Drosophila melanogaster: one gene and its partner. The protein of the gene in region 1 purifies or fractionates together with the protein of each later gene. This does not show direct contact. Each region holds a gene or a part of one and is shown on either strand. Other genes may lie near its edges. The genes, in order: CG5447 and Frl.

Region 1 (15,766 bases):
TTGAAGTTACGAAAGACAAAGCAACTTTGGATTTCATTCAAAAGCAATAATTAAAGTTGAAAGTTTAGTTCTTGATGATGATTTTACTACTTTAGTTACTTTTTCAATTGAAGGATTACTAATATTTATAAATCAAAGTTTAGATCCGTTTACCATGCTAACTTTATCTTGTCAAGAGAAAACATTGTTCAAACTAAGTCATCTACCCTCGTTATAGCAATGCCTCATGTGGTTCAGTTGCTTTTTTTTCCGTGCCCAAGCAGCAGACGCTTCATTTTCCATTTAACCGCACCCGACTGCCGAAATCCTTGAATTCAACAATTCCTCCTGCCCCGATTTTCCCCCCGGAAAACCCATGGGCGCGCAGACAAGCGTGCAGAAAAAGTTCTAAATTTAATGGCTACACCTAAAAATGCAGCGACTGCAACCGAACCAAAAGTGAAGGGCAGACTGCAGAGGGAGGAGGAGCCACTCGCCGGTAGTTTCAAGTGCACTTCGGCTAGGCCTGGCTAACTTCCCCGTCCCCATTCCCATTCCATCTGATTTTCCCCAAAAAAAAAAAAGTATTTTATATATCTGTGGAACGGGCCGACCCACCCACACGCCCCTGCCCCGCCCCTCGACCCCTTCACGCCTCGTCGCACGCACGGCTCGCCTTTTGTCTACCAAACTGTTGGTAAAAGAGAATGGGATCAGGAAAAGGGGTGCACTGAAACAAAATTCTTCAACTGCAAATAATTGTAAGGAAAAAAACTTTAAGAATTTTTTGTTGTCAAAAAGCTCAACATTTTATTTGAATATGAGATCTTATAAATATATCATATAACAAAAACACAACTTAGTTTGATAAGCTGAAATGTTATAAGCAGTAATCAAACATAACAGCTTTATTGTATTTGATTGAACGTATTTCTTTCACATTCCTCCGATTTTTCTCAGTGTCAAAATGAAATGTTGGGCTTTTGTGTAAGAGGAACTGTTCTATGTTTGTTGTCTGTGCATTTCAATTGGGCGCTTTCTGCATTGTGCCGGCGTGTAATTGAAAACTTAAGCAGAGGCACCACCCCGCCCTCCTTCCCCCCCCCCCACCGCTCACTTTGTCCACGAAAAGCGCGCAACAAATTTTCCAATCAACAGAGAACGAAACAGGCCCTATGCACTATAAACTGCGCCCCGCTAACTTCCTGCTCCACTTCCTTGCAGCATATCCTGTATCCCTCCGGTTGCGACTCCGAAAATCAGGAGGCCGCTTGTTGCTGTTTGTTCAACAAACGTTTATTAGCCGCGAATACTTTTAATCGCATGCAATTTGTTGATTGCGGACAGTCGTTGCACTTTCCACGCTTTTCCACCCACCCAGCGAAAAGGCCCACTTTAAGCACACGGAACTAGGTAATTTTCACGTCGTTTTGGACCGGAGGGCGGGAAAATGGGAAAATTGGGCGGAGGGGAGCGAGGGGAGTGAGCAGGTGAACAACGTTTGCCGCCCCTCTTTGAAGACGGTGCACAAATTTTTCTGTGTTGCGCGCTTAATTGCAGCTTGTTTGTTGCATGTCGCAAACTTTTCACGATGCCCTTACAACTCAAGTGGGTTCCACTGACTTGGGGGCGGGTCTTTTAAAGAATGACATTCGTTTCGTACCATGCTTTAAAAATAATGTATTAACGAAATTTATATGTATATAGATATGTAGAGTAGAGGATAGATACTAAGCATATTCTAAAAGCATTTAAAACTTTTTGAAAGGGCATGCAATCCATGCGGATCTTTTCCAACTTAAAAACTTCTTTCTGCTGGGTCTTTAAGCATTTCTTAGGATTGCGTGGTAAAAATTAATTATACCTCGAAACAGGGGCGAAACGCCAAAAGAAAATGCCGGCACGAAGTGAAGAACCTAGCCACGTGTTGAAAGTTGAGGCAGGGAAAGGTGATTTGAATGGAGATTTGCTGGGATTTCAAGATGAGCTGTGCTGAATCTCTTGGCATGCATTCTCTCTGGTTTTTTTTTTTTTTTTTTTTATTGCTGCCAGACAAACAAACATTAACGGTAATCGAAGAAAAGTGCTCACTTAAGGAGAAACACCTCATAACTCGTTTAGGCCAAGCCAAGAGCGAGCTCTGGGAATGGTCAAAGCTATGCAACAAGTGTCAAGCAGGCCAACAACGAGCCAACATGCTGGCAATCCAAGCCAATGCGAGCCGGATTGAATCGGGCAAGGTGGCCAGAATCGTCTAGTGCCAATTTTGGACAATCTGCACTAAATTGTCCATTTAAGTGGGCCCGGCTAAACCGACTAACTCGACGTTAGCTGCTCCCCTTAGATCAACTGACTGCAATCAATCTGGCTGCATTTACACCTCTGCATTCAGACTGGCAAACTGGAAGGTTGGAAGGCTGGTTAGCTGACTAGCTGGCTAGCTGGCAAAATGGCAAACTGGCGATTTATGAGGCCAAGGCACGTTACGTGCAAGGGCGTTAGCATCGATGCAGAAACATTTCTATCTCCATACACATTCGCACAGACCATGTGTATCTGCAACTGTTTGGGAGGTGGAAATGACGGCGTTGCATTGCGTTGCGTTGGCTTCATGTTACATTTTCATGTAACTTAATTCTTGCATTAAAATGCATTCATTAACCGTTGCCTTTGTTGTTTGTTTTGCGCTGCTTTGTTGCATTTCCAACCGCCGAACAGTCACCGCAAAATGTATCCGCCCCGCATTCAACTCTCGATAGAGGGGAAAATATTTCATATAGCTGACCTACCGCACCACACAAAAGAAAATAATAAACATTTCATTTACCGCACAAAACTTTCCCCATTTGAAATGAAGTAGACAGCGCCCTTGGCAATGACGGGAATTTAAAACTCACCATTTTCCTTTCACGAAAAATATTTTATAACAATCAACATTTCTGGGAAATTTTATCTGGCTAGTGAACACAATCTACTCATGTTTCATAAACAATCTTGTGTGACAAATAGGAAAACACCTAAAATCTGAGGTTCTCTTAAAATAGACCACTCTTAAGCAAATTATTAAACTGGTTATGAAAATTCCTAAAACTGTTGCGATAAAGCATTTAATTACAGAAATAAAAAACTGTTCATCAAGGCAAATAAAATTTAAATTAGTCGCTAGTTTATGAACAATTCCATTCATGCGGCATTTACGAAACATAATTTATTTTTCTTTCTCATCCGTATACTTGTTTGTATATTTTTAAAGCAGCCAATTTAACGAGGTCTTAAAATATTTTTATGAACTTTCGTGTTAAAAGTTTTATATAGGCTAATTAAAGTTTTATTGGAATTTTGTATGTATTTTCAAAGGCTATAACAAAAACTAACTTATTTAACAGCTTAGGAAATCTTTTGAAATTTATGGATAAGTACTTTTAGTTCTTAACAAGATTAATGACAATTTTTTTAAATATTTGTAGCCTACTCATTAAAACAAATGCACTTGTTTGCGTTTACATTACTCATACGATGTGAAATACGTAAAACTAATATGGGCTTACCAGAATTCAACAACTTGAATAAACCATTTTTAGGAGTTGAGAAGCCAGCTCATAGAGTTTTTTGCTGGCAAATATGACTCAGAGGCCGATCGAGAAGATACTGGGAATTTTGTAGATTACGCAACGCAATGAGCAATGAGAAATTTCATTTGGCAGACCAATTTGTTCTTGCCCCCGCTGCTAAATTGTATTTATTAGTTTTTTGGTTTGATGCGTTTCGTTTCGTTTCGTCTCGGTTTTTCGGCTTCAGTGGGTTTTATGACGGAAGCACTACTCAAGAATCGACTTCAGTTCATTGAAGCCAATTCGAGAGCCGTTTACGGAAGTTTTTGGCGGGGTGGGTCCGAAAATAACCGATTCGCTTCATTGCACAAGCCCCATATGCTCTCCGATGTCTTTCGAAAAATAGTACAAAATTGTTAATTGCCCCGGGATGGGATGGGATGGGTTCGAAATATATATAACCTAGAAGACCCTCGACTAAAGTCTGCCTCTGCACTCCACTTTCAGATGAAGTCCAATACGTACGAACTGCACAACTACGCCGATCTGAATGACATGGCCAGAGCGACGGACTCCAAGGATTCGCGCAAAAGGAAGACGGCCAGTGCTCGGGGCGAGAAGTATTCCCTGCGACAGAAGCGACAAAAGAGGGGCTCCAACGAGGATGGGGAGTCAGCCAACCTGGCTGACTTTCAACTAGAATTAGATCCCATAGCGGAGCCGGCTAGTAAATCGAGGAAAAATGCACCCACCAAGTCCAAGACGAAAGCACCGCCACTGAGTAAATACCGTCGGAAAACAGCGAATGCCAGGGAGCGAACCAGAATGCGTGAGATCAACACGGCCTTTGAGACACTGAGGCATTGTGTTCCCGAAGCGATCAAGGGCGAGGATGCGGCCAATACCAACGAGAAGCTGACCAAAATCACCACCCTGAGACTGGCCATGAAGTACATCACCATGCTGACCGACTCGATTCGAGATCCCAGCTATGAAAGCGAATTTATAGGGGAGTGTCTGGAGGAGAGTGCCAATCGGGAGGCGAGAGTGGACTTGGAAGCGAACGAGGAAGCCGAGGTGGAGCTACCCGTTCCAGTTGCCAAGAAGCCAGCCAAGACAAAGGGCAGTGGTAAGAAGAGTTCCGCCGCGAGCAAAAGACAGAGCCAAAAGCAGGCCAAGATAGTGCCCCAGATACCACCGATAAGTTCCGGTGAGTCGTGCTACGCCACCTCTTCGATTGGATCGCCTGCCTCCTCCGCCTACGCATCGCTCTCCTCGTCATCGAACAGCCACAGCAGCAGTAGCAGTCCGGGACTGGAGCTGGACAGTCTGGTGGGATTGAACGGAATCAGCGCCCTGGACTCTCTGCTTCTGGATACCTCCGATGGGGATTCCCTCTCCTGTCTAAGTCCCGGCTATGGAAGTCTACTCACTGGCAGCGGGGAATCCCTGTTGCCCGGTTGCCGAGGTGATCTGCCCATGTCGGGTCTGGAGAAGTCGGATGTGGAGCTCAGTCTGCGATTACTGGACCAGAGTTCCAAGGATTCCTTCGACTTTGCCAGCGATCAGCAGCCGTCGGCCTGTATTAGTTCGTTCTCCGCTCTGGATGGGTATCCATTCGACCTGCTGCACAGCGATTTTCCGGATATGTTTCTCACGTGACGCGTATTTCTTAGCAACCCTAACTACTCTCCTTTTAAGCCTAACCCTCGTCTTAAGTTAGAGTGCGAGTTTTAACCCGACTTTCACTATTAGCCATTACATGCGATGCGCCATTGAGGCGGAATTCATTGTGTCATAGCAAGCAGCTGACAGGATAAGTATATTCACATCCTGCGAAGGCAAAAGCTGCTCACCGCCACATCCACATGATAGCTCAACTCAACTAGTGATTTAAGCATTTCTTTGTGACGCATTTCTCGTTATCCTGTAAATAAAGCACCCAGTGTTGATTCAAACAATCTATTCTGTGATGGGATTTTGGATCCTTCAACTTTCAGAGATATGAAACAGAGTAGACTCTTAGATTATTAGTTTTAAATGGAGCGATTCTGAAATTGATATTAGGTAGCCGCAATATAAATCATACCTTATATTTGAGATCAATAGACACACATCGAAATGGCAAACACTTTTAATCCTGAGGAGGACTTTCCGGAAGTCTACAAGGTCTGCAAGTTGTTCAATCCGAGCATAGACGATCTTGAGAAGATTAAAAACGCAATGGATCGTGAGATTACGATGGGTCTGAGTCGCGATCATCACGATCGTTCGACCGTTCCGTGCCACTTGAGCTATGTACAGGATTTGCCAACGGGCAGGGAGCGTGGTCAGTTCTTGGCCCTGGAGATGATGCCCACTAACTGCAGGATAATGCTGGTGAAGTTCAGCAGCGAGAGAGATATCTACACCAGTTCCAAGTGCGTGATTATGCCGCATACTGTGGCAGCGGGTCGAGGAACCGAGGTCTTCACCTTTCTGGCCACCAGCATAGCAAATTTTGTGAAGGAGAAAAAGGTGGACAAGGACAATCTGCCGCTGGGCATAGCCTTTGCCTTTACCCTAAAGAAGTTGGCTTTGGATGTGGGTATCCTTGTGTCGTGGACCAAGGAGTTTGGAGCCCAAGGCGCCATCGGCAAGGATGTGGTCCAACTGCTGCGCGATGCTCTGGCCAAGTTTCCCGAAATCTCCGTCGATGTCATGGGTATCATCAATGTCGGAGCCGGTTCGCTGCTGGCTCTGTGCTGGGCCCAACCGGATACCCGAATTGGCTTGATCATGGGCAGTATTGCCAATAGCTGTTATGTGGAAAGGGTCGAAAGGTGCGAAACGTACGAGGGTGATGAGTACAGAAAGCTGATGATCATTAACTCGGATTGGGCCCATTTCGGGGATACTGGGCAGTTGGATTTCATACGTAACGAATACGATCGCCAGCTGGACACCGAGTCCATAAATCCGGGCACTCGGATCTATGAGAAGTTTAGTGGAGCTCTTTGCATGGGAGAATTGGTTCGCATTATAGTGCTTCGCCTGATGAAATCGGGCGCCATCTTTGCCGAGGACAGGCGTGATTACATAGGGATCCAGTGGAAGTTGGACATGGTGTCGCTGATCGAAATCGTCTCGGATCCGCCGGGTGTCTATACGAAGGCACAGGAGGTGATGGACAAGTTTCGCATACGTCACTGCAAGGAACGGGATCTGGCTGCCTTGAAATACATCTGCGACACGGTCACAAATCGTGCTGCCATGCTGGTGGCCAGTGGAGTTTCCTGCCTCATTGACCGCATGCGCTTGCCACAGATCTCGATCGCCGTGGATGGCGGCATCTACCGCCTTCATCCGACCTTTTCCACCGTTCTTAATAAGTACACCCGTTTGCTAGCCGATCCCAATTACAACTTCGAGTTTGTCATCACCCAGGACAGCTGCGGAGTGGGAGCGGCCATAATGGCGGGAATGGCACATGCCAACAAGTACAAAACGGACGCGAAATTGTTTACTATGGACTACTAGATATGCATAAATAAAATTTTTATTATGTCTGCTTAAATACAATGACAACATATACGTTTGAATTTTCCATGTTGTTAAATTTTCCATGTTATTCAACCAGAACGTCCAAAGCAAGAATTGAAATTTACCTCATGAGAAAGTCAACTAGACTTTTAACTCATTCTCTATTCGGCCCTGTATTTAAAATTTTGTTTCATAACAAAACAGTTTGTGGAGGCTGTAATAGGAAAATGCCGAGCCTGGTGAACACGGAAATTGAAGCCGCGGTCAAGGGCTTCCTGATCGACCAGGAGAAGATGACCGAGGTGGTGGAGCGCATGACCAAGGAGATAAAGATGGGCCTGGCCAAGGACACGCATGCACGAGCGGTGATCAAGTGCTTCGTCAGCCATGTGCAAGATCTGCCCACTGGCAAGGAGCGGGGAAAGTATTTGGCCCTGGATCTGGGTGGCTCTAATTTCAGGGTGCTTCTGGTGAACCTGATTAGCAACTCGGACGTGGAAACCATGTCGAAGGGCTATAATTTTCCTCAAACTCTGATGTCCGGATCGGGAAAGGCGCTTTTCGACTTCCTTGCCGAATGCCTGTCGGAGTTTTGTCACTCCCATGGCCTGGAGAATGAATCACTGGCTCTGGGCTTCACCTTCTCGTTTCCGCTCCAGCAGCAGGGACTCTCCAAGGGTATCCTTGTGGCCTGGACCAAAGGATTCAGCTGCGAAGGCGTGGTGGGCAAGAATGTGGTGAGTTTCATGGCGTTCAAACTATTTACGTGTGGTTCTATTAACATTTATATTTAACAAATGAATTTCTTTTAATATGCATTCCTAGGTGAGTCTTCTCCAGGAGGCAATCGATCGAAGGGGCGATCTAAAGATCAATACCGTCGCCATTCTCAACGATACGGTGGGCACTCTGATGTCCTGCGCCTTCTATCATCCCAACTGCCGGATTGGATTGATCGTGGGAACCGGCTCCAATGCGTGCTATGTGGAGAAAACAGTAAATGCCGAATGCTTCGAAGGATACCAGACCAGTCCCAAGCCATCAATGATAATCAACTGCGAGTGGGGCGCCTTTGGGGACAATGGTGTTCTGGAGTTCGTTCGAACTTCCTACGACAAGGCAGTCGACAAGGTAACACCCAATCCCGGCAAGCAGACGTTCGAAAAGTGCATATCGGGCATGTATATGGGTGAACTTGTACGTTTGGTCATCACCGATATGATTGCCAAGGGTTTTATGTTCCACGGCATCATTTCCGAGAAGATCCAGGAGCGATGGAGCTTCAAAACCGCCTATATTTCCGATGTTGAAAGTGATGCACCTGGCGAGTATCGCAATTGCAATAAGGTCCTTAGCGAATTGGGCATATTGGGCTGCCAGGAACCCGACAAAGAGGCCCTGCGATACATCTGCGAGGCGGTGTCCTCCAGGTCTGCCAAGCTATGTGCCTGCGGCCTGGTCACCATTATCAACAAGATGAACATCAACGAGGTGGCCATCGGCATAGACGGTAGCGTGTATCGCTTCCATCCCAAGTACCACGACATGCTCCAGTACCACATGAAGAAGCTCCTCAAGCCGGGCGTCAAGTTTGAGCTGGTTGTTTCGGAGGACGGATCCGGAAGAGGAGCGGCTCTCGTGGCGGCCACCGCAGTCCAGGCCAAAAGCAAGCTCTAAATTCGAAGTTGATATTCTTCAAATGCATGGGAAACGTTACGGACAATGATATATGAGCACAAAATTATGGAAGAAGAAATAAAGATTTAAGGATATAATGGGAACTTTTAATATTATCCTTTCAAACTTAAAATTGTGTCCAGAAATCCGATTTGAATTATGGCGCCAAAGATATAATAATTTTCTGCCTTAGTGGCAACACTGCACATCCATAGTATTTTTTAGTACATGCAGTATTTTTAGAATATTTATGGAACGATAGGGATGGGGTAACACTATTTTGGTATAAAAGCCAACTCGCCATCTGGTAACACTTGGAGTTTGCAAACATTTATCTCTCGACCAATTTAAGGAATTTGAGGCAATTAGGGCATTCCTGTGAGCTTTTCCAGGCCAACTGCGATTACTTCAAGCCAAGACAAACAGGTGGGTAACCAAGCAGGCCGTGCCCCACCGACCAGACCAGCAAAACACCCCCATTTCGGGCGGTGCTGGAAAAAGCAAGGCCAGCTGTCCATTTGGGATTTGGACACTCCACTCTGAGCATCAAGATGATTGCCCTTAACCAAATGCATCGGGCGCTGCAGAGCGAGGCCATTAATGCCATTATCCGCCTTTTCAGCGACAACATGTCCCAAGGCGGTGGCACTACTCCAGCGGGCGGTAATCCCACAGCGCTCCAGGCGACCGGAGGGGGCGTGGTCTTCAGCAAGGTCTTCATCCAGCGCGATTACAGCGAGGGCACCTCCGTCAAGTTCCATACACGGCTGCCCGCTGAGCTGGAGGGCATGGTGACTATATAATACTCTATATTATCTGTGGGATTATCATCCGAACTCATATCGATTCTCGTGCAGATTGAAAGACACGTCTTCGAGGCCACCATCAATAGGCTAAACGAGTTCTACGCCGAGGCGGAGGAGGGATCCTGCGGCACCTATTGCGAGGGCTGCATTGGCTGCATCACGGCCTACTTGATCTATATGTGCTCCGAAACGCACTATGAAAAGGTGCGTCATTTGGGTTTGGATTACACACATGTGGGTCAATGCAATAGAGTCTAGTTCCACTAGGGAACTATTAATAGGGATTAGAGTCAACAATTTCACAAATGTCGATATGCGATCGTATAAGTTATCAAAGTTATTCTCGTTAATGTCCTTGTACTCAAGGTTTTCATATCTGTTTAAGGTATAAAGGTCAGAGAACTTGATAAATCAAGTAGTAGTATTACTTGCTAATTAGTGATCGTGCTATCTGTTATACGAGTTTAAAATAAGGCAGTGGCACTTCCAGCTCTATTGCCTGCACATACTAATGCTCTTTCGCCCCCACAGACCCTTCGCAAGATATCCAAATTTGTGGCTTCCCAAAATGAACGCATTTACAACACCAAGGGACTGCAGCTGATCGATCCCACTTATCGGGGACTTCGCGTCATAGAGATTACAATATTCGATCGTCCGGGGCGAACGTGACTTCCGCTTTCCCATTCAGCCAACGAGTTTTTCATGTGAGATCGAGCAGCTACAGTCGCATCAACAGGCATGTGAAGGAGAAGAGTCCGTTTCAGCAATTATCAAGCAAAAGTCAGCGCCATCAGAGTGCGTTTCCAAAAATATAAATCAATAAAAAGCTGTGGAAGCAGCTAAAGCTTTATAACCTATAACCATATGTGTGAGTATCTCAGATATTCCGCACTCAATTGCAAACTGAACTAACTAACATTTACTTTCGCATCCTTTCAGCTTGGCAAAAGCAGTGGCCAGAGCGTTTTCGGGGCATGCGACTTAGTCACGGGTGTGCTGGTAGATGTGCCTCCGCTGCAGCCACATACTGTATGCTAGATTAGCCGTTAATGATTAGCCAAGGCAGTGTACGGCCAGTTAGTTAGTATTTATGCAATAGCAGGCATAGTCATGTAAGTGAAAAGCTACCGAAACTGCATTTTGAGCCGAAGCAAGAAGCATCAACATATACACACATTCGCATATGTTACAATTGTTTTATTAATCGGACCGAAAGGCCAGCGAGAATTGATTGTTTTGTAATTTGAAAATGAATAGAATTGTATACATCATGTTTGTAGTAGTTGCCAACAATTCGATTGTCTAATGTTGTAATTTCAATATGGCATTAACATTTGCATAAATACACACACACATAGTTCAAGCTTAATCAGACATAATGCATACGCATAACTTTTTCTATACAATACTTACCGATTTCAAACAGCGCCAAATGAACTTACACATAAATCGAATCGAGAATCGTTCGATATTTAATATAAATCAGCAACATTGATTAACATAGTTATATATCTTATAAGAAAAATATATATATTGCCGTCATTTAAACGCGCCTACAACTGTTTTCCTGCGGCGGGTAAACATCGAATTGGAAGCAAACAAGTTAAGCAAAATGTGGCGTGCAAAATTTGTTTTTGCTGATTTTCAATTGTATTTCGCTATTTACTTATCATCTGCGGATATTTGTTATTGTCTGGCGTAGAAAACTTTCGTATATATAAAGGCCTCTAAAGCCTCGTCTTATACATTCACGATTCTTGCAAAGCCGCACAATGAAGCTAAGCACTTATCTATTGGCGCTCGTCCTATTCGCCGGATTCTGCCTGCTGCAGCCTTCCTCAGCCCAGACCAATTCCACCACATCCACCAACACCACAACCACGGAGGCAACCACAACCACCACTGCCAAGGCCACAACCGTTCATAGGAAACATTTTACGATCCGTAATCTCCACTATAAGACAGTGCGCAGGATCCATGTTAACAAGAAATCTGGTTAATAAGATCTTTAGCTTACCAAACAATGGCGAATAAAAAATACCTAAAGAAAACACATTTCTAATAATGGGCACAACAATTTATACTTCTACATACAGATCTTTTTGTCTTTCTGTTTATAAGTGTGTTTTTTATGAACATACTTTAGTTCTCATTTAGTTTACTTTCTACGCATTTGTTTGCCAAGTTCATGGCCAAGTTCCTTAGGTTTTGACTGCTTAGATATAGCATAATAAATGAAGTCAATAAACGAAATGGGGCTGCTATTCTAAGCTAGAAACATCTATTTATTCCAATCGTAGCATTGAACAAAATCTACTTTGAGAACACCTTTGGCTTTCATTGGTTCGCCCTTTACGGGGATAACCAATATCTTTAACTAGCTTTAGTATCTGTGATTAAGAATAAAAATCCTGACTAGTTGTTGTACCAGATTTCAAGTCGAAACAATCCAGAAAACGTTTATTTCAGCAGTAAGCCTAATAATATACAACATTTCTACAATAGGCTACTTGTATATTTTTCTATTTAGGTTTAAAGCAACAAAAGTTATACGGTCTTTTCTCTCTATTAGATGACTACACCGGCTTTTATCTGCGGATTTTCATTTTCCTTCGACGCACCAAAAAATCATACTATAACATCAAATAATAAATTCTTGTCCAGGTTCCATCTTTCAGTGGTGGGTCGTCCTAATCCTTCAGCATTTTCCGTTCTTACTTGCCCGCATCGTTCATGTTCTTGGGCAGACTCAACAAGGAGTTGATTAGCTCCGAGTTGCGCTTCCTGATGGGCACGGATGGGCCCAAGGAGTTCTCGAGGATCAGCGGATAGCGACAGAGAGTGGCCACTTGGCCGGGACTGAACTGTCCCACGCCCACGTTGTTGAACCAGTCGAGGAGATCCCGATTGTACTCCTTGCGCACATAGCGCTCCTCATCCGGCATGGCCATGGCGCCGCAGTATCCCCACTGGCAGCAAATGGCCAGAAGCACAAGGGCGACAAGGTACGTGTAGCGAGCCATTAGTCCGAGGAGCTGGAAGGATGGCCAGGAGCAGGAACTGAGCACGGAACACCTGCAGCAGGAGACTTGCGAATGAACGTCGGTTGGCGCATCCTCGACTTATATAGCAACCTGGACTGGATAACCCACTGCGGGAGACCGCCCGACCACGCAACCCAAGAGCGTCAGTATCGGTGTCATCCGCAGGACCAATACATGTCATCCGCAGGCAGCGGCGGTCCTTTAGCCCAGGCAAATACGGAGTCGAGTTGGAGCCACGCAAATATTTGGTTATGCAGTGTTTTATGTGCCAACATGCAGGCACCAAATCCCATTCAAGTCCAGCGATATTTGTACGGGAAGGCAGCTCACTGGCGACTCCATGTGGCACTCAAAAAAAAGGAGGATACCCAATTTAGGCACTTCTTTAAACCAACTTATTTATTGGATTTAAATAATATACGATTGCAGACAAAATTGCTGACCTTCCATTAAAACGAACCTTATTTGTGAATAATATTTTGCTCAATTCGTTTTCTCTCTGTGTAATTGTGTGATTAATTTTAGAACGAAGCTCGTAAAAATACCAATCTTAAATATATATAAAACTTAATAGCTAGCTCGGCAGTTGGGCCGTTTTGCGAAATTCCAGCTTGTTCCTTTGTTTGATCACCAAACTGTGTAAATATGGCCAAAAAATTTCGCGCGGACGTAATTGGCGAGAGCAAAATGCAAATATTTGCTGAGAAATTCCGCCAATTGTCTTGGTCACATATAAAACTCCCAGCCTCCGAAGTGGTAGTTCATCCGAGCAACGGCATCACCGAGCACACCATGAAGACAGGACAACTGGCACTCCGAATCCTAGCGATAAGCCTATGCATTTGGGCAACCAACGCCTCATCGCCAACCACCACGGAGACTACGACGACCACGACGGACAGTGACACCACCACCACGACGACAGCAGCCACCACGACCACCACCACCGCGTCCTCCTCCTCCTCCTCCTCCTCCTCGAAGGTCCATCGCAAGCGGTTCAGGATCAAGAACCTCAAGTACTCGATTAAGCGCAGGGTGCGCGTCTACCGTGACACCAGTGCCAGTTCCACTTCCAGGAACAGGACCAGGAATCGCTCCGGAAGGCGGGTCAGTGTGCGCAGCCTCAATAGGCTGCTGCGACGCCGCAATCAGGGCTAGGTTCCAAAATCCACATCAAGTCATATCCATACATGCAATAAAAGCAATTTTCCAAAAAAAAAAAACATCTGAGTATTTAAAACCATAAGGATAATAGAAAGGTCAGTACTAGAACGTGTGAAAAGCGAAGGATTCCCCAATGGTTGTTGCACATGTCGTATGCGTAATATATGCCAAATTACTTACCTTATTTGAAATTTTCTTTGTTCCCATCAACAGGTTGCCCCTTCTAGCATGGCTGTGCCCAGTCACACAACGCACATCATCCTTTATTTATGCCTGTTCAATGACTTCACGTGCGGCAAAAACATTGACCCAACTCCGCCCCCCAACCAATGGGCAAACATCGGATATATCTCGACGGGGTAGGTTTACGATGACTATAACTTTCCATGCAGCCACATTACCCAGCAGTTTGATGGCCAAGGCTCGGCGTCGTTCACTCCGACGATTTGTTTGCACTGCATTTGTGGCCAGACCCAAAATCCGGTGGGTGGAACGCGGACTCCGCGTTTATCGTCCACCGTTTGCCGTCTTAAAAGTCAGCTGAAGCATTTAATGGTCGTGGTGTGACTTGGAGGCACACATAAGTGAAACACGCATGGGTTCGATTTCGGTTGGGAAGACATTTCCAGGAGCGTCTTGGTCACATCAGAGTATAGAAAGTAAATGAAACTTAATTTCCCATATATTAAAATGGAAAAAAAAGGTTTTAAAATATATTAAGAAAGTTATTATTAGCTAGAATTTATTTAAGATCCATATTTTTTACTCTCTCCTTACTATGAAGAATCTTTACTTTTCGGTCTGCAGTTCGTCCCTGGACAAGCCGAAGATGATTCGTCCTGAACGCACACACAGGACATCGGGACGGGGGTCCGTGGCCATTCACCAATTACGCGCCATTCGCGGCTGTGTCCTTAATTTCTTAAAAAGCGTTTAAACATCTAATGAAAGCATTTGGGACCCCGCGATTTCTGCTGTCAGTTGCGTTTACCTTTTCGCCGTGTGCGGTTCGCTTCGTCGGTTCGGGTCGATTTGGTGGTATTCCTCGGTCCTGATTATCCGAGCTGCAGGAAGCGAGCACGAGAGGATTATGTCATTGCAGCCATGGCCAAGATAATCTCGACGATCAAGGCCATCCTCACGAGGATCATCTTCAGTGCGCACAGCCTGCTGGCCATTTGGCAGGTGGTGGCTTTAAAGAGTGATATCATATACTGGGCACTATGTGGACCACTGCTGTTGCTGCTGCTCGAGGGCATCTTCACCATCATGATCAAGAAGACGCAGGAGTGGCGCTGGTAAGGATGAAACCCACGGATCCTGGCTACCCCAGGCATCTGATTAAAACTCCCAACTCGAAATGTAAACAACAGTCAGTCGATGCTGACGTCATGCCGCGGGGTTTTGATTTTCAATTAAAAGTGAAATCATGTGTTTAATGTGTGCCTAACCTGGCCACCCACTTTCATAGAAACCACCAACACTGCGGCCGCACCCCCACACTCAAAAAAAAAGTAGCCACGATTTCCAAACAACACAATGTAGTTTACATAGGATTTTTGGATAAAAATATGCATATGAATTGAATCTAGAAATAGGAAATCCTATGAATTTTGTATCTTAAAGCCAATTTGTATTATCATTTCGGGGTGTACTTTTTTTCAAGTGTAAGCTGTCCACCTCACACTTTGTACTAGTAAAAACTTTAATGGAATTTCGTGGGGGATGGAGTCTTTTTGACTCTTGTTTACCTTTCGTCGCATCACTCAGACTTGTTGTTTGTTTTGGCCGTTCGGCTGTGCCACCTCATTTGTGTCCTTTGTCCGCAGGTTCTGCCCCTCGGTTTTCCTCTACCTGAGCAGCATTGTGCCGGCGATATGGCTGCTGGAGCTGGACAAGGTAGCACGTCGGGTGGGCAACATGACATCGACCAACTCGACGGTCTACAGTCCGAGCAACTACAGCATTCCCGTGGGCAACACCACCATCTTCATCACCAGCACCAACAGCAGTGGCGTGC
Region 2 (16,232 bases), on another chromosome or scaffold:
ATTACCGATGTGGCTTGGCAGCTCTGGGAATTTTCGCTGGTCGCGTACGGAGCACGGATGTCCAGCTGCGTCTGGGTAAGACTCACCTGCGCGCACTGCCCATACAAATCGATAATGGCCCAAATGTTCGGTGCGTGGCACTCGCAGGCCGGCCCTTGATCCATTCCATCAACAAAGAAGTGAATGAAGTCACCATTGCGCATCACACCAACACGCGTGCTAGGACCTAGGGTATCCAAATCCAGCAGAATATTCGTGCGTATAGTCTTGCGGTTGTGAAAAATCATCGGGCCGCATAAGATGATGGTGTCGCTGGCCTCCAGATCGGTGGCGTTTGGAGCCAACTGGATGTCCTCGGGCCGAGTGCCCGTCACCCCGATCTCAATGTTGCCCGACCAGTGACGAACCATTGTCTCCAGCTCCACTTCAAACAATTCCCTCTGCCTTAGCGGTCGGTTACTGAACACAATTGCGTCATTGAACTCCGCCAGGGAATTGGGACGCGACGCTGTTAGGCCACTATTCGATATGCCCGCATTGGCGCCGTGGATGCTGTGAAATCGCAGCGGAACTTCACTGTACAACGTCGTGTTTGAGATGGTAGAGTTTCCAGTGTCCGGACTACCGCACTCCGAAGTGTCCACGATGCTTGCTTGTGCTGCCTGTCCATACAAATCGATTACACCATAAACGCGCTCGGGAACATTGTTGGCAGCTGGACCCTGATCCACTCCATTTACCCAGAAATGCAAGGTGCCGTCGTCCTTGCGCACCACACCCACTCTATCGCCCACCTGCAAGCGATCCAGGTTTTGACCATACTGTTCGATAACGGTGACTCCATTCTGCATGACCCCGTTTCCCGTCATCATCCAAGTGCCGGAACTGGTTTGGAAAATGGTTGTTTAAAACAACTAAAGTTGGGCTAGAAGCCAGGACTCACCGCACATTAGTCATCGTGAATGGAAAGTCCAGTTCGTCGGCGCTGTGCGTGGTCACTCCCATTTCAACAGAGCCAGCCCATTTGGTCACGACGCGTTCGAGTCGCACTTGGAAGAGTTCGTTGGGGCGCAGAGGTCTCCTTGTGAGCACTACACCATTGTTAAAATCATCGGCAGCACTGCATACAAATTGGGGAATTGAAATTCATAAAAATCTTCTGCCGTAAACAACAATGCTCACTTGGGCCGCAGCGCTGTCCGCCCGCTCTGGGTGACGGTGGCGTGAGTACCACAAATGTGGTGGAAGGTTAGCCGGTCATCGTTCCTGGCTATGGCTCGCGTGCTGGAAATGGTCTCACTTAGGCCGCCGGCAGCGCCAGCGGCATTCATCTCGCTCTCTGGACTTAGGAGGCTCAGGGTTGGGGTGCCGGAATGCTGCTGGTGCTGGGTGTGCTGAGCACCAGCACCACTGGAACATGCAGTCATGCCTGCTACTATGTTGTTTCGCCGTGTCACGAGATTCTGCTGCTCACGTTCATCGCGATCAACTATTGTTACCTTGATAGTCATTCCGTAGAGATCGATAACGCCCCACAAAGTGGACGGTGCTCTGGTGGCGGCCACACCCTGGTCCTGACCGTTAATGTAATTGTGTAGGTTGCCGTTGGCCTTGCGCATCATCCCAACGCGATCTCCCTCGCGAAGCTCATCCAAGTTGAACTCGCCGTACTGACGGCGTGTCCCCTTACCATTGGTTAAAATGCCGCAGCCGGACATCATAATTGTGCCTGAGCGCATGTTGGTCATGGTTGCCGGAAAGTGCAGCACTGCGGGATTGTGCGTGGTGACGCCCACTTCAATGGATCCCGACCATTTGTCCACTAACTTGTCGATGCGAATCTCAAACAGTTCGTTGTCCCTCAGAGGCCTGTGGGTCATCACCACGCCGTTATTGAACTCGTCCAGGGGTCGACGGCGTTCGGCGGATCGAAAGTTGGGCGAAAGCTTCACCAACGACCCACAGCGGGTGTGGAAGCACAGTCGGTCATCAGCACCGGATACGGAGCCATTGCCTTGCATCCAGGCGTCGGAGTCAACGACAATGTTTACGTTCATGGCCACGTCCAAGTTTTGAACAACCTGTTGCAGTGGTTGCTGCAGCGGAGAATCCAAAAGCTGTGTACAAAGAAAACGAGTTTTTGTTTACCTATTCATTTGGATTAGCTGAATTGTTACCTCTCCGGAACCACTTCCATCGCGCGGACACAAGGAAACCTGCACACAACGTCCGTAGAGATCGACAAGAGCCCACAGAGGCTTGGGCATGTTCTTTGCAGCCACGCCTTGCGACTCTCCGTTCACATAGAAGACCAAATCGTTACCAGAGGTGCGCATGACGCCAACGCGATCATTCTCGTTGAGCGTCTCCAGATCGGTGCCATAGAACTCGAATAGGCGTCGTCCATCCTTGCGCACGTCGATGCCGGACATGACCCATGTGCCATTTCGCATGGCAGTGGCGCATGCCACCAGTTCCAGGTCATCCGGCGACTCCGCGGTGACACCAATCTCAATGCTTCCGCCCCAGTAGGTATTCTGCAAGACGATCATTATCCGCAGCTCTATCTGCTGCAGTCGTGTGGCTAACTCACCTTCTTCTCGATGACGACCTCGAAAAGTACATCGTCCTCCAGGGGCTCAGCACTGAACACCAGGGCATGACTGAAATCCCGCATTGAGCGCTGGGCCATCCGGTTGTTATTGTACAGCCGGATGGAGCGGCCACAGCGTGTGTGGAAGGATTGCGCTTCTCTGCCGGTCATGGTTGCTCCTCCAGTTCTGCTTTATCGGTCCTTTTCTCCGCCGCCGCTTGTCGCCGTACAAATCAATCGACAGTCGGAATGGGAACACGGGCGGATTGCGGCTCATCGGCTGTTGGCGATGTAAGTGCTGGGTTCTCGGGCGCTGATGGAAAAATTCCGATGGAGTAGTCTGCAGTTTCCTAGATCTTCACAAAGCATTATGCATTATTTTCAAAGATGTGCCAAACTAAAATAAACAAATGAATATCCTTTTCGTATGACCGTTCATAGATGTAACAAAAATCTATACATTCAACGAACATATCGACTGTTTAGTTGAATGGCTTATCAGTTATTACACTGAAAACAAAGTTCGAGCTATATGTAATTAACAAGGTTTGCTCTTAATTCGCCTAATAAGAAAATACATTTATTTTCAAGTCTCCAAAATCTCCAAGCATCCAAAATTTCATATTCAATTTGAGTTTCAAATTAAAGCTAACTTTTTGGATAATCTTTTTCTAAAAACAGATCACTTGTACTGCAAAGAAATTAAAAACAAAAAACTTTAAACAAAATTATATTAGTTTTAAAACAGTTGTTCCCGGTCGGTTAGGCTAACCACGCTGCCTTCCAGCATCTTAAGCATGCTCTGTTGGACGGCCTCGCCGTGTCACCGGAGATGTTTAACTGGCAGTTGGTTTGAAAAGTTGGTTTGAAAACCTGGGAAGCTTTGAGGCTGAACTTGGCATTTTCTCTCGTCCGAAGTCTGGTCCCTGACGGATGCGACAGAGGAACTGTCGATTAGAGGCTGATCGTAAATTTCAATCAATGTTTCCAGTAGTTTTTGGGGCGACATCTTAATCAAATAATTTTCATGGTGGCCAAGTCAATTTCGCGAGCATACTGCAACTCATAAATAGTGAGGCGATCCTCCTGTTGAGCCATGTAATGCTGCAAACGGCATTCCTCAAATGAATAATCCTCGATGTGATTGGGAAAGTTGCCCAGGCCGCCGAAGGGGCCGAATGCAGATAGGGGCCACGCCCCGCTTTTCAAGTAAAGTTTTACTTCCTCGACGACCATATGCCTTAATGCGAATTAAGTAAGCTGCGCTTACTTGACATCTATGTGCTCCAGGATGCACTCCGAACGAAATACGCGGGAGCCAGTTTAAAACTCCTTGCATACGAACATCTTTATCAAGTGCGCACTTCGCAGTGGATATCCAAAACTTCAAGCCCAATCTCGAGTGTGCACATGCATATGTATAAAATCCGTTAGTTTGATATTTTTACGATTTGTTAAAATATAAAACCGCCATAAGTGATTTTAGAATATTAGTCAATACTCCCACATTTCTTCAATATTTTAATGAACTTACACTACTTCAACGTCTGAAACTGTAAATGAATAGCGATTTTTACGGTCTTATTTGTTCGAGCGATCAATGCACATATTATTGACGCAGTGAATGCGTTCACAGGCTACATAAGGCGTGATTGCTATTTACCTGCTGAACGCACCCATTGACACTGTTTAAATACCAAAAGCCCGTCGACAGTAATACTCCAGCAACCCCAAGACGGTCACACTGGTCGGTGTTACTAAAATAAAGAAACACATTTGTTATTCGAGATTGTCTTAAGCTGGATATTTATTTGGAATATATAGATGCCCCGACGCCATGTCCGCTACGCCACGCCAGAAGCAGTTCGACATGAATCGTAGCCGGGCCAATAACTTGGACAGCAGCAGAAGCGGGTCTGCCAACAACAAAAACACCACGGACAGCACGAAAAATGTGGTTTCCCCGCAACACAATCAACGCAAGCTGCAAGCCTCCATGGAGCGCCTACAGGTGCAACAGGTGAACACAAGTCGCCGGGCAGCCGGCTCCAACTGGATGGCCGCTGCTGGCGGTGGAGCAGCAGCAGCAGCTGGAAGTGAAAACCAGGATGCCAAGGCGACGGAGTCAGCACCACTAAGCAAATCGGCACGCATGCGCATGAAAAAGAAGGCACACCGCAATCGCATTTTGGCCATGGACTGCGAGATGGTGGGCGTGGGACACAACACACGGGACGACATGCTGGCACGCGTGTCCATCGTGAATCGCATGGGACACGTGCTGCTGGACAAGTATGTGAAGCCGCGAAAGGAGGTCACCGACTACCGCACCAGCGTGTCCGGCATTCGGCCGCAGGACATCGCTAACGGTGAGGACTTTGCCGCCGTGCAAAACGAAGTGATGAAGCTGATACATGGCCGCATTCTGGTGGGACACGGCCTGCGCAACGATCTTGCCGTACTGGGCATCCGCCATCCGTTCCATGACATTCGTGATACGTCGCATTATAAGCCGCTGTGCAAACTCATCTCTAATACCCACACGCCCAGCTTAAAACGCCTGACAAAGGCCGTTCTGGGTCAGGAGATCCAAACGGGCGAGCATAATTCCGTGGAGGATGCACGTGCCGCCATGGGTATCTACAATCGCGTTGCCGTCGACTGGGAGAAGTATCTGGAGAAGAAGCGGCATCAACAGCAGCACTATTAGCAGCTCACTCGGGGAGCCCCATTGCACTGAGGGGTGTTCCATTACGGTAGTCTTAAATTTTTAAGTATACACACGGGTTTCATTCACGTGAAACTGTTGCTTAAATGTATAAAATGTTACAACCTTAGCCATAGTTCTTTCTTGAAGGCATCGGAGCGGTTTTCAGCACGTAATGTGCCACTCAAAAGCAGGCTCGGATCTCATGATGAAACCATTTTTATGTTTACACATTCTTTTGTTTAATATCGGAAAGCTAAAATTAAAATTCTTTCTTTGCTTTGGGGAAATTATCCTACAGGGCTTAACTAGCTCTTAGTGTTGTATTCTACATTTTAGGAAGCCGCCACCTCTTTCGGTGAAGTTCGGCTAGTACTGGGTCCGTGGATGGCCTCGTGCCGTTCCATTAGCTCCCGCCAAGGATCCTCCAGCATGGAGGGATGAAAGTACTGGCCGAAGGAGCTGCCGCTCTGGTTTTGTTCCCTGTTCTGGTGGCTCCTCGGATGATCCCAGTTCTGTTGGTTCCTGCGATTGAAGCTGCCGCCGCGTCCGAAATTCCTGCCCTGACCGTAGGGCCGATGGCGCTGCGGCTCCTGTGGGGATTTGTTCTGGTAGAAATGAGGAACATTTTGCTGGCCCTGTTTGTCCTCGTAGAAGCCAACGTTTGGATTTTGTGGCTTCTGCTGGCCACCGAATTGCTGCGCTCTGTAATCCGCGGACTGCGATGGGTACTGGCCGCCTTGTGGGCAGTAGGGCGGCAGGTTGTTATAGTTCTTGCGAGGGGTGCTCATGATTGCAGTCGTTAAAGCTTATTTAAGCCAATAATGGCTTATTTCCTTGGATCCGAAATGTAAAACAAATGTTTTTTTATTTTAAGTGCGACCGTTGGCAATTACCACAAAAATGCATATTAATTAAATCAACTGGCTTAAAACTTTGCTAAGCGCAGTTTTCGGCACATTTAGGGTGTTTTCCCGCCAGTCTTTGGTTTCCGTGCGCAGACCCAGTTCGGTCACACTGTCCCGAATATTCGTGTAGCGCGGTTGTCGTGCGGTCGGTCGGCAAAATAAAGTGCATTTAACTGCAGTTGCTCTCGGTTCCCACACTTATCGCCCACAGACCGAGTCTAATGCGGTGTGTAAGGCAAATTGCAAGCAATTCGCACGTCCCTCGCTCGGAAAAACCTGCAAACAAAGCACAAGAGGCGTCGCCTGCCGCAGGAGCCTTTCATCGAAATCTGGTCCTTTGTCTGTGTTTGTGTGCCTGCATCCGTGTCTTGCTGTAGGTGTGTGTGTGTGTGAGTGCTAGTGGCTGTGTGCCTGTGTGAGTGCCGCCGTTGCACCACCAGCAACAACAACAGCAACAACAGTAGCAACAAATTGTGTTTTTGCTTACATTGTCAGAAAGAAGTAAATTAAATTATCAAAATTTTGGAACACAGCACTTTTTACACTTACTTTCAAAACAAAAAAAAAAAATAAATAAATTAAACAAAAAACAAAAAAGGCAACCAAAAATAAGAAAACACACGCCCGGAAAATAGTCACTTTCGATTGGCCAGTTGTTCTGAGCGTTCGATAGCAGAGAAACAGGCAGCAGCCGCTTTGGATATCTTCAACGGAATCAAAGAGCAACTTTCAAGTTGCCCGGAACGCACGCGTGCCCTTTGCCGGACTGTATGGGGTACCCTCTCGCTGTCCCTTAGCACTGCGCTCCAAGCGGCGACCATCGAGGACGCCATCGGCGGCGGAGGATCCGGATCCCGGGGATTACAGGATCCAGGGGGAGGAGGCGGCGGAGGAGGAGGAGGAGGCGGCTCCGTCTCCGGCTCGGTTTCGGGCTCTGGTCGCTTTGCCACCATAATGGGCGCCGTCAAATCGCGAACCATCACCAGCGCTGATGTGGACGCCGATGAGCAGCTGCAGCATCCCCATTCGCATGCGCACCATCACTCGATGCGCAATGGCCACCAGCACAACGGTTCCATCTCTAGCGGCACGCTGCAGAAACAGGATCTGCGCTACGACATCGGCTGCAGTTCCCAGTACCAACATGTCAGGCAGCCGAGCCTGCGGAGCCGGAGCCAGCAACCCATGCCCACCACAGATGAGCTGGACCGACGATTCGCCAAAGTGCTGGTAAGTTAATCCGAATACCATGACAAAAAAAAAACTTAGGTATTAAAATATGGCTTAAAGAACAATTTTATACTTTCATTAAATTCATTATAATTTGCTAAATTTTAGATATACAAATTTATTTATTTATTTTTACCTATTTTACGCTCCATGTACCATTCAAATCCTAAATGACAGGAAAGTCTCAAAGAAATATATTTCAAATATACATTTATACTTCAAAGATTTAAAAAATATAATTCCTTTCTGCCAAGTTTAAAAATAACGCCTTGTAGAATTAATTAACTAGCAATCCCTTTCCAAAAAGCATTGCATAGTTTTTGGCAAATAAAATTCCTTTCATTTATTAGCTTACAATATGTTTCATACATATATTTTGTATAACATACGATTTTAATATACATTTCTGTTTATGAACGAGTAAGCTATTTTGGGTGATCAGCTTGGTATCAAGAAATAAATTTAAATAAATAAATGGAAATGCGTAAATGGTTCTAGAATACAAATCTATCTGGAAAAATCTTTTTCACGCTGTTAAGCTTTAATAGTCGAATCGAATGTTTAGAAACAAATACACCCCCTCTTCTGAATCGGTGATATTTTTTAATACACTAGAAGAAATGTTTGTTTATGTTCAAAAATCCATTTGAAAAATTGAGTTTGCTTGGCGAATGTAGTAGCTGGTATATAGAAAGAAGCTTAAGGATTGGCTTCCTGCCCCAGCCCGTTTTTTTCCGCCCTCGCATTTGTTGCATGTGATTGATGACCTCATCGAGTGTGCGGCGACTTGTTCGCTTGAATTTTTGTCAGCCACACACACACACTTGTGGAAACGTGAGTGTTCGCTGGTGTTTGTGAGTATCTCTGAGTTTGTATCTGCGCCTCTCCCCAGTTCAACTCGATTCAGTCCCGTTCTGTTCTCCGCTCCGGCTTGCACAACTCCCCAAGCAGGGCACAGTGGAATGGGATCTGAATGGAAACTACCATATATACATATGTATGTGCTGAACACCTTAGCTATTCCCATGCTTAAAATTGCATTCAAAATATCATATTGCACGGAATTATTCGTAATATCTTATTGAAATCAAATATCGATAAGGTATCAGGACGAAAACCTTGATGACTAGCATGGTTTACAATTGGTTTATTAAGAAACAGCATCCTAGTTTTTAAATCAACCCCTTTTATTCTTCTTTTTATCATTTAATTTAAAGGATTTACAATGAAAGATCATAACTTTTTTAAGCCAAACTTTTAATACTCTCACCAAGGTTCGAAGGGCGTGTGCCTGTCGTCAGAATTCGTTTGTCATCCCACCAAATGCTTTTTTTCACCGAACAAGACTGCGTAATTAAGATTTTACGAGTAAACATATTGCCAAAAAATATAAATACATTAGTCAAGAATAGAGAAAAAAAAGCTCTCAGCGCTGACCGTCATAAAAGCGTAACGGATAGTGACCCACAGCCGCCATTTGATTCGCTTCCCTCCGCCCATCGTTCCCCCCTTTCTGAATAAGCCACTCCAATTCGGCATGCTAATGGCAATTAAAGCGAATTGATCGATTGTCGCCCTCTCTGTCGCACTCGAGTCACTCGCTGACTCACTGCTAACGCCGGCATGGGTCCGCTCGCCTGCCCTCCCTTACTCGCACTGCTTCTCGATGGGATGCGATGGGATGGGATGGCTTGGAGATCGCGGCTTATCTCTCTGGCGAGCTGAACAAAAGGGGTTGGCGAGAGCAGAACTCTTTATTTATATGGCGCAGCTTGAGTTCTCAGTTATCGGCAGTCAGTCAGTCAGTCAGTCAGTAATATGAGAAATGCTTCTCCAACGGGTTTCCCACTTATCTGCTCATTTTTGGCATTATGCCCATTCTCAAGATCTTTTGTTTTGATCTCAAGGTTGTAAATACTGTCCTCAGCATATGGAATGTTGTTTAAAGATAAAATATTTACTAGAGGATGTTCTTAATAAATTATTACGATCATTTTTATTTAATAAATATTGGATGATAACATTTTATCAACGTTTTGACAACAACTTGGCACATATTTTTTTTGTGTTTATTCCATAATTTCTCGATTTCTTTTTCGCACTGTATGATGTCATGGTTGTAACTTCTTTCGTGCGCATCTCGATAAGGAAGCACGATTTTTATTACTCTCATGCCATTTTTGGGGACACAAAATATTGATGCGTTTATTAAAGCCATTAAGAAATATAACAAAGTTCTTGCTTTCTTCCTTAATATAATTAGTATCCGTTCAAGGGCTAAAGTCAATGCTATCCAGAAATGCTATCATATAAATATGGTATGAAACTGATGAATTGTTTTTGAATGCAATATCTCTAATAGCCAGACAAAAATCCTTTTAACAACTCTTATCGCAGACTAAGAAGATTGCCATTATACCACAGTATTAGTATCTTATTATCCTTACTTACTTACTTATCCCAATTGATATTCATGTTAACACGCCTAATCTAAAACAAACCATAGCCATTCCGTTGTCAATTTCAAATCCAAAATATGATAATTCAAGGGTATTCCCGATATCGACAGACCTTAGATAGCATTTGCTATTCTTGCTCTATTGTTTGTTCAAAATTCATTGCCTTCTTTTCGCACTCAAAGTGTGTGTGTGTTTTCGTCTGTTTACCTATGCCTGTTACTTGTTTTTTTTTTTTTCATTTTTCGCCCCTCGATATTGTGTTTGTTTGCCATTTCGGTGGCATTGTGGCATTGCTGGAGGTGCTGTGCCGGGCCCTGGTGGCCTCGCCCTTGCCTTGTGTCTCCGGCTTGGCTTAATTTGTGTTTACCTTAATTTAGGCAAAAGTGCTGCTCGCCGATGGCCCATTGGCATTGAAGTGGACTTGACTTGGCGTACCGGAGACTGGCAGATCCAATGCGCCAATGTCCGTGCAGTCGGCTTCCGAACGACAGCAATTGCTTGTCTGATTCATTGTTTAAAAATAGCAACAATCCGACAATGTTGCCGCTAATAATTCGCCTTTGGCTGCATCTAATCAGACGCAGTTGGTGCATGTGTTTCCGGTTAAATTACAGTTCTGCTGCGAAGCTCAAAGAAGCTGGGTTCGTTTGTTTGCCCACAAATGCAACTAAACTATGAGCAAGTTGCATGAATTATACATTTAGCTGGTAAATTGTTTGGCTTTAAGTTTTAAGAAAGCAATTATGAATTTATATACAATAAATATTATGAATTTTTCCACTCGATTCCAAGTGTGCTATTTATTGAATTTGAATACCCACAGAGGCTACAATTTAACTGTGTTTGTATACAAATTCACTTTAATTGCATTAAAATTGGCATCAAGCCAATAAAATGTCCATGCTTTCTTCAATTGAAAGTAAAAGTGTATTTATTACATCGTCAGTGAGACGGCTTCGAATATTAGTGAATAAAAACGTTAATGTGATTGCATTATTGAAAGCTTTGACTCTAAAGAGACTTAACTGCGGTTTATGTTGTGGGTGTCATTATTCACATAAATTGTCATATAGTGAAAGACAGAAAGACTAAACCGCATCAAATCCTCATCCCCGATCGCTTACCAGCTTTCTCAGGCAAGCCAACTTTCACTCGCTTCAACATCGTTGCCCAAGAGAATCTAGAATCTATATCTATAAACAATTGCCTGCCGGCGGGGCGTAGTTAAGGTGAGGTGATTCAGGGTTAGCCGTCGCTCTTAATGACTTTCCCAATGACTGACAAACCGCAAGGCAGTGAACCACAAAAGTTATTGTTGTTAATATAGTTAAGCAATCGTTGCATATGCGAGGGCAGGTTTCATTGTTGAGATGAAAACATTTTTGATGGTATTTTTGAAACTAAATATAGGCTTTACTTTTTGAACATTTATAATGATCTCGATCTAGAATAACATTTTAAAATGTATTTTCGTATCATAAGAAGCATAAGAAAAACCTAATCTTACTCTTCTTCCATAAGGATGTGTTTTTTTTTAAGTATATTGTTTTAAATTTTACTCGAACTCTAATGTCAGCCCTCGTTGCATTCAATGGCAATATATTCATGGCTTTGTTTAACGCATTGTCCATTTGGATTGGCTTTATCTAACGGCAGCTTCGGATCTGCAGAAAAAATGAGACTTCCACATTATGTGAACCCCTTTATCTGCCTCGTAGGGCAAACATAAGTTTATCTTTGCTGTTCACTTCCTTTTGCGGTCGGCAAAAAACGAGCATAGCGAAAAAGCCTACTAATGATAAAAACATAAGACCATCTGTTTTTTTTTGCGGAACAGAGTGGATAAATGGTAATCGACTTCAGAGTTCATGGGAATTAATGTAGGGAAAACTGTTGAGTAAGTAGATCTTTAGTAGATCTTAAATGATTCTAAGGGATAACAATTCGTGCTGAAAACACATAGAAAAAGATTAGTCATAGTCCTGTGGCTATGTCTTTATCGGTAAACAAAGTCATCGGTGTTACGCACGTTCATTTGGAAAATGTTCGTTTTTTTAAAATGTTTTCCTTATCGCATTACTAACAAATACATTCGAAGTTCTGAGAAGAACGGAAGTGCTTCCTTTTAAAAAACCGTATTCGTTTGGCATCTTTGATATCTTTTGAAGTATTCGCAACATTTGTGTTTAAAAATGATATTATAGATTAGTGGAAATAAAGATTACGTGGTTGATTGACTCACTAAGCTCACATGTGGCTTACGCTTTATTGATTGTGTTCATGATTCGCATGAAAATCAATTTATGTAGCCCATGTGGCTTTTCCAATAAAATTCCAATAAAATGTACTTTTGCTTCCATTATTTGTCGGCAAAACGAAAAAGATAGTAAATACCATCTACCTATTACTCACCTCTAATAACTTTGAATCATTCTTGTGAATTTCTAGTGGAATATTATGAAATAGGTAACTGCTAGTCGAGGCACTGGTTTTGGCGTTCCATCTTGTTTCACTAGCTGTTCACAATATTTATATGAAATTTTTGCTATAATAAATACCCTCGAAGCTTACTCATTTGGCATGAGCGTAGACAGATTGAAATTGAATGGGGGTTGCCAGGCTTACAGTCCGTAGCGCGTCCCATTATGCACATACACACACACACATGTAAAGATAGAGGGGACACAAAAATAAAACAAATTTAAAATGCGTATCCGGTATGCCGGTCAAGTAATTCATTATGTACACCGATATTTACATTTACATACATATGTATGTACATATGTACATCATGTCCAATTTATATACATACATAGTAAGTTTTCGCTTTCTGGCTTTCGGAGCCTGTCTGCCCTGGCATAAATATTGAAGAGAGGCTCTCGTCTTTGTCACCTTGTTTATTATTCTCTCTTTTTATGCACTCTTTTATTTACTTATTTATTGTTTTGTTATTATGAAAAGCGCGTCGAGGCAAATCACTCAGTCTGATGGGTTCAGACCGTAACGGACAATGGACTTGGGAGTGGAATCGAAGGGGGTGATGGGATCGGGACGGGATCATGGGAGTTGGGGCCGAGGGGCTCACCCATAACATTACAATTAATTAATCAATAAATTTTGCAATCATTCTCGCATTTACTCACATTCCTCTGATCAAGGGAAATATATTACGTCTATATTAAGCAATGAGCACGTTGGGAAAAGAAAATAAACAAAGCCAGAATTTAAGATAATTGTAATAATTGTTTAGCTTAATTAACACTGAGATAAACTGGCAGGCAGGCTCCATGTAAATTTGCAGTAATTGAATGAGAAAAAAACATTGAGCAGAAAGCACTTTATTATCATCATCATGTGAATAAAAACATCTTGGGCATGAAAATAAACGAGGAAATTAATTATAGTGTCTCTGAAAAGAGATTAAATACTTGCTGATCTTATGTTATCTATCTAATGTTATCTTTATTCATGATAAAAAATGAAGTTAATACCTGATTAAAACTGCATAATACATTTTAATGTTTTCAATATTACTTTCTCAGCAATTTTTATCACACTTATGGGCTTTTCAAAAACAAAGTTTAACATTATTTTTTTTTGGTTAATATATTTTTTTTAAATTACTTGCTTATACATTATAAATACATTATAAATAAGTTAGAGCAACAAATGGTTCCTCGAAATATGATGAGAACTATTATTACAGAAATTTTTGGCTCAACAAGTTATAATTTATTCTATTGATGATCTACTACGTACAGAGATGAAAATCAGTTTCGTTCCCGTGCATTTCAACGCACTAAATACTTTTCTTTTATTCCGAATGTGCATCTGATATTGTTTGGGTATATGGGTATGCATTTTGCATTTATTTTCCGTAGATCCCTTCATCTCCACCACACCCTTTTCCCGCTCTCATACCATTATTGATTGTGTGTGTGTCTAATTAGAACTTCCAACTGCAGCTGCACCCATAAAAAAGGAGAAAAAAGTGGAAGAATTATATTGAAGTCACGTAACCATATTTGCCGATTTCATTATGGTGCATTCCCTTCCGTTAAATTGTACATTTAACCATTTTACACAATCGTCTGCAGTCGAGCAGGTAAATTGGTTCTTATTATTTGATTTTGCTTTATGGTTCAGTGATTCAGTGAGCTGCAGCTCTAAATCTGGAAATCATGTCATTCTTGTTTTGCGAAAATATTTGTGTTCAACTAATATAGAATTGTTAAAACAATATTAATTTCCACTGTCAGCTGCTTAAAAGCGCAAATTCATGGCATCTCTTTGAATAATTTTCCCTTTTTGTTGGCTCTTCTTTATGGTTTGGTGACTCTTCTGCAATAATCTTTTAATCAACCATCAGCAGCTAAAGTACTTAAATATTTACATGAGCAGGGAAACAATGCACTGGTGAAACAAACCTAAGAGATGCAAGACTGACGGTCCTAATGGGCCATAATATGCGGGGTATTTCTGGCTGGCTTTCCATTTGGCTGAGTGCCATTTCCAGCTTTTACCATTTTACGAAGATACATATATCTTATAACTTATACATTTCTTTATCTGAGGATCAACACTTACGAATGGTTTTCATGTCTTTTCATATCTTTTGGTGACAGGCGTCGATGGACTTGCCACCGGATAAAGCAAAGTTGCTGCGGAACTATGATGACGAGAAGAAATGGGACATGATATGCGATCAAGTGAGTAACAAATTATTGTTAAGATTAATAAGATATAAGATATTTTTTCTCAAATTAAATTTGTTTACACTTTAAACTTTTAAATTGCAATTCATAATTATGAATAATAAATGATAATAATGGGTTTTATGTATTAATCATATTCGTGAGCAAGCATGAAACATTTTTAAACTAAAGGGCACTTTTGTGTTCTAAAGAATTGTTCATAATTATTAAGATTAAATATTTTATTTTTGATGTTTTACACATTGCACACTAAATTTAGCTAAAAACTCTTTGATATCAAAAGCATAACTTCCTGCTGGCATTTCGCAGATTGTGAGGCGGCAGTTTCATTCCCAGTTGAGCACTTTGGACCCATTCTTGGGCGCAGTTCAAGGGGGGGTGCTATACAATAGATGCATGGGTATGGATGCTGAGGGGGTCTTGTTGATGCCGACACCTTGAGCACTGACCTTTAGGCTGCACAAATGTGTGTAGGGTCGAATGGAGCAGGCGCCGCTCTAATTAAGCTCGACCAAATGGCTTTGCGCAATGGAATTGTGTGCGCGTAGGCCAGTTGGAATTTCAAAGGCGTCTATGCCTTGAGCAACTTTACGAAATTCTCTTTCAATTAGTAACTGCCAACTGGGGGTTGAGTAAAGATCAAGCAGGTCAACTCTGGAAAATCTTGATATCAAAGGTAGACAAAAGCTCTTGAGGTGACAATAAGTGTAATCTGTTGTTCTTGAGCAATTCATTTCCTCGAAACATATGTGATAAAAACGTTGGCTTAAGCATCTGTAAACACTATTCTGTTTAAATGTTTTTACTTTTAAGCTGACGCACATTTATTGAGTTAGGCAATGCACTATTTTATACTATATTTATGCTAGGGAATCAAATTATCCGTAAACCTTAATAGCCAGCTGAACTTCGGAATTATTTTGAATTGTTTTTATCCGAGATTCGTTCCACAATAATTGCTGAAATGCCATAAATAAATTGTAGGACATGTGTTTATCTGTCTAGATAGATAATTGCATATATATAGACACCGCATATCAACTTTGTCAATCATTATGCAGTGCGTGCCGTTTTGTGGCTCGCGCTTTTTGATGTTCTTGTTTTTTTTTTTTTTGTTTTTCCCGCTTCGCACACTGTAGTCTTTAATGATATAAATTCGCTCGCTGAATCCAAAACACCAAAACATTTTGGCAATGAGAGCGACTCTAAATTGGTTTAGAATGGGGCAATAAATTGTATATGTACGAGTGTTATTTGCTATGTGGACAAAAATCCAGTTTGCGTGTTATGTTGATTGCTGCTGTTTTTGGAATATGACGAAACTATCAACGTGTGCGCCAGAGCGTGCCTTTTATTTTTGGTGGATTCTATCTATCTAACCATCCATCCATCCATCCAACCAACCAACTAGCTATCTATCCATCTCACTTGTAACTGGGTCACTGAATTTTCAAGAGCTGCACCTAGGAAAATAACAACGGAAAACAACGGCGACGCCGAGCATAATATATTCGCCATCGGCATTTTGGTGGAGTAGCTCTCAAAAACGAAAATAAAAATAAAAATAAAGATCCGAGGATGGAATGCTCAACACTCTTCGCAACTCCGGTACTCACGTCA

The links.
Region 2: the proteins of CG5447 (region 1) and Frl purify together in Drosophila melanogaster (affinity purification with mass spectrometry, with the first as the bait; one large-scale study listed by BioGRID). This does not show direct contact.

What each region holds. Positions count from the first base shown.
Region 1 is NT_033777.3:26,443,503-26,459,268, forward strand, and holds CG5447 (uncharacterized protein), read left to right. Parts: upstream 1-9,031; 5' UTR 9,032-9,155; intron 9,156-9,351; 5' UTR 9,352-9,358; coding exon 9,359-9,520; intron 9,521-9,586; coding exon 9,587-9,739; intron 9,740-10,066; coding exon 10,067-10,207; coding exon of another isoform or gene 10,208-10,246; 3' UTR 10,247-10,406; intron 10,407-10,477; 3' UTR 10,478-11,083; downstream 11,084-15,766. Other genes in the region: tx (taxi), read left to right, coding at 4,038-5,192; Hex-t1 (hexokinase testis 1), read left to right, coding at 5,652-7,049; Hex-t2 (hexokinase testis 2), read left to right, coding at 7,181-7,789, 7,878-8,729; CG43117 (uncharacterized protein), read left to right, coding at 11,311-11,538; Pdf (Pigment-dispersing factor), read right to left, coding at 12,253-12,561; CG14237 (uncharacterized protein), read left to right, coding at 13,375-13,740; CG14238 (uncharacterized protein), read left to right, coding at 14,851-15,044, 15,576-15,766.
Region 2 is NT_037436.4:14,046,906-14,063,137, forward strand, and holds the start of Frl (Formin-like), read left to right. Parts: upstream 1-6,309; 5' UTR 6,310-7,162; coding exon 7,163-7,438; intron 7,439-14,522; coding exon 14,523-14,606; intron 14,607-16,232. Other genes in the region: Neurl4 (neuralized E3 ubiquitin protein ligase 4), read right to left, coding at 1-885, 944-1,120, 1,183-2,117, 2,178-2,537, 2,594-2,764; CG6833 (uncharacterized protein), read left to right, coding at 4,431-5,303; CG13484 (uncharacterized protein), read right to left, coding at 5,636-6,091. UniProt on the Drosophila melanogaster protein: Together with Cdc42, involved in establishment of planar cell polarity in the developing compound eye by contributing to ommatidial rotation. Together with DAAM and Cdc42, has a role in neuronal development of mushroom bodies.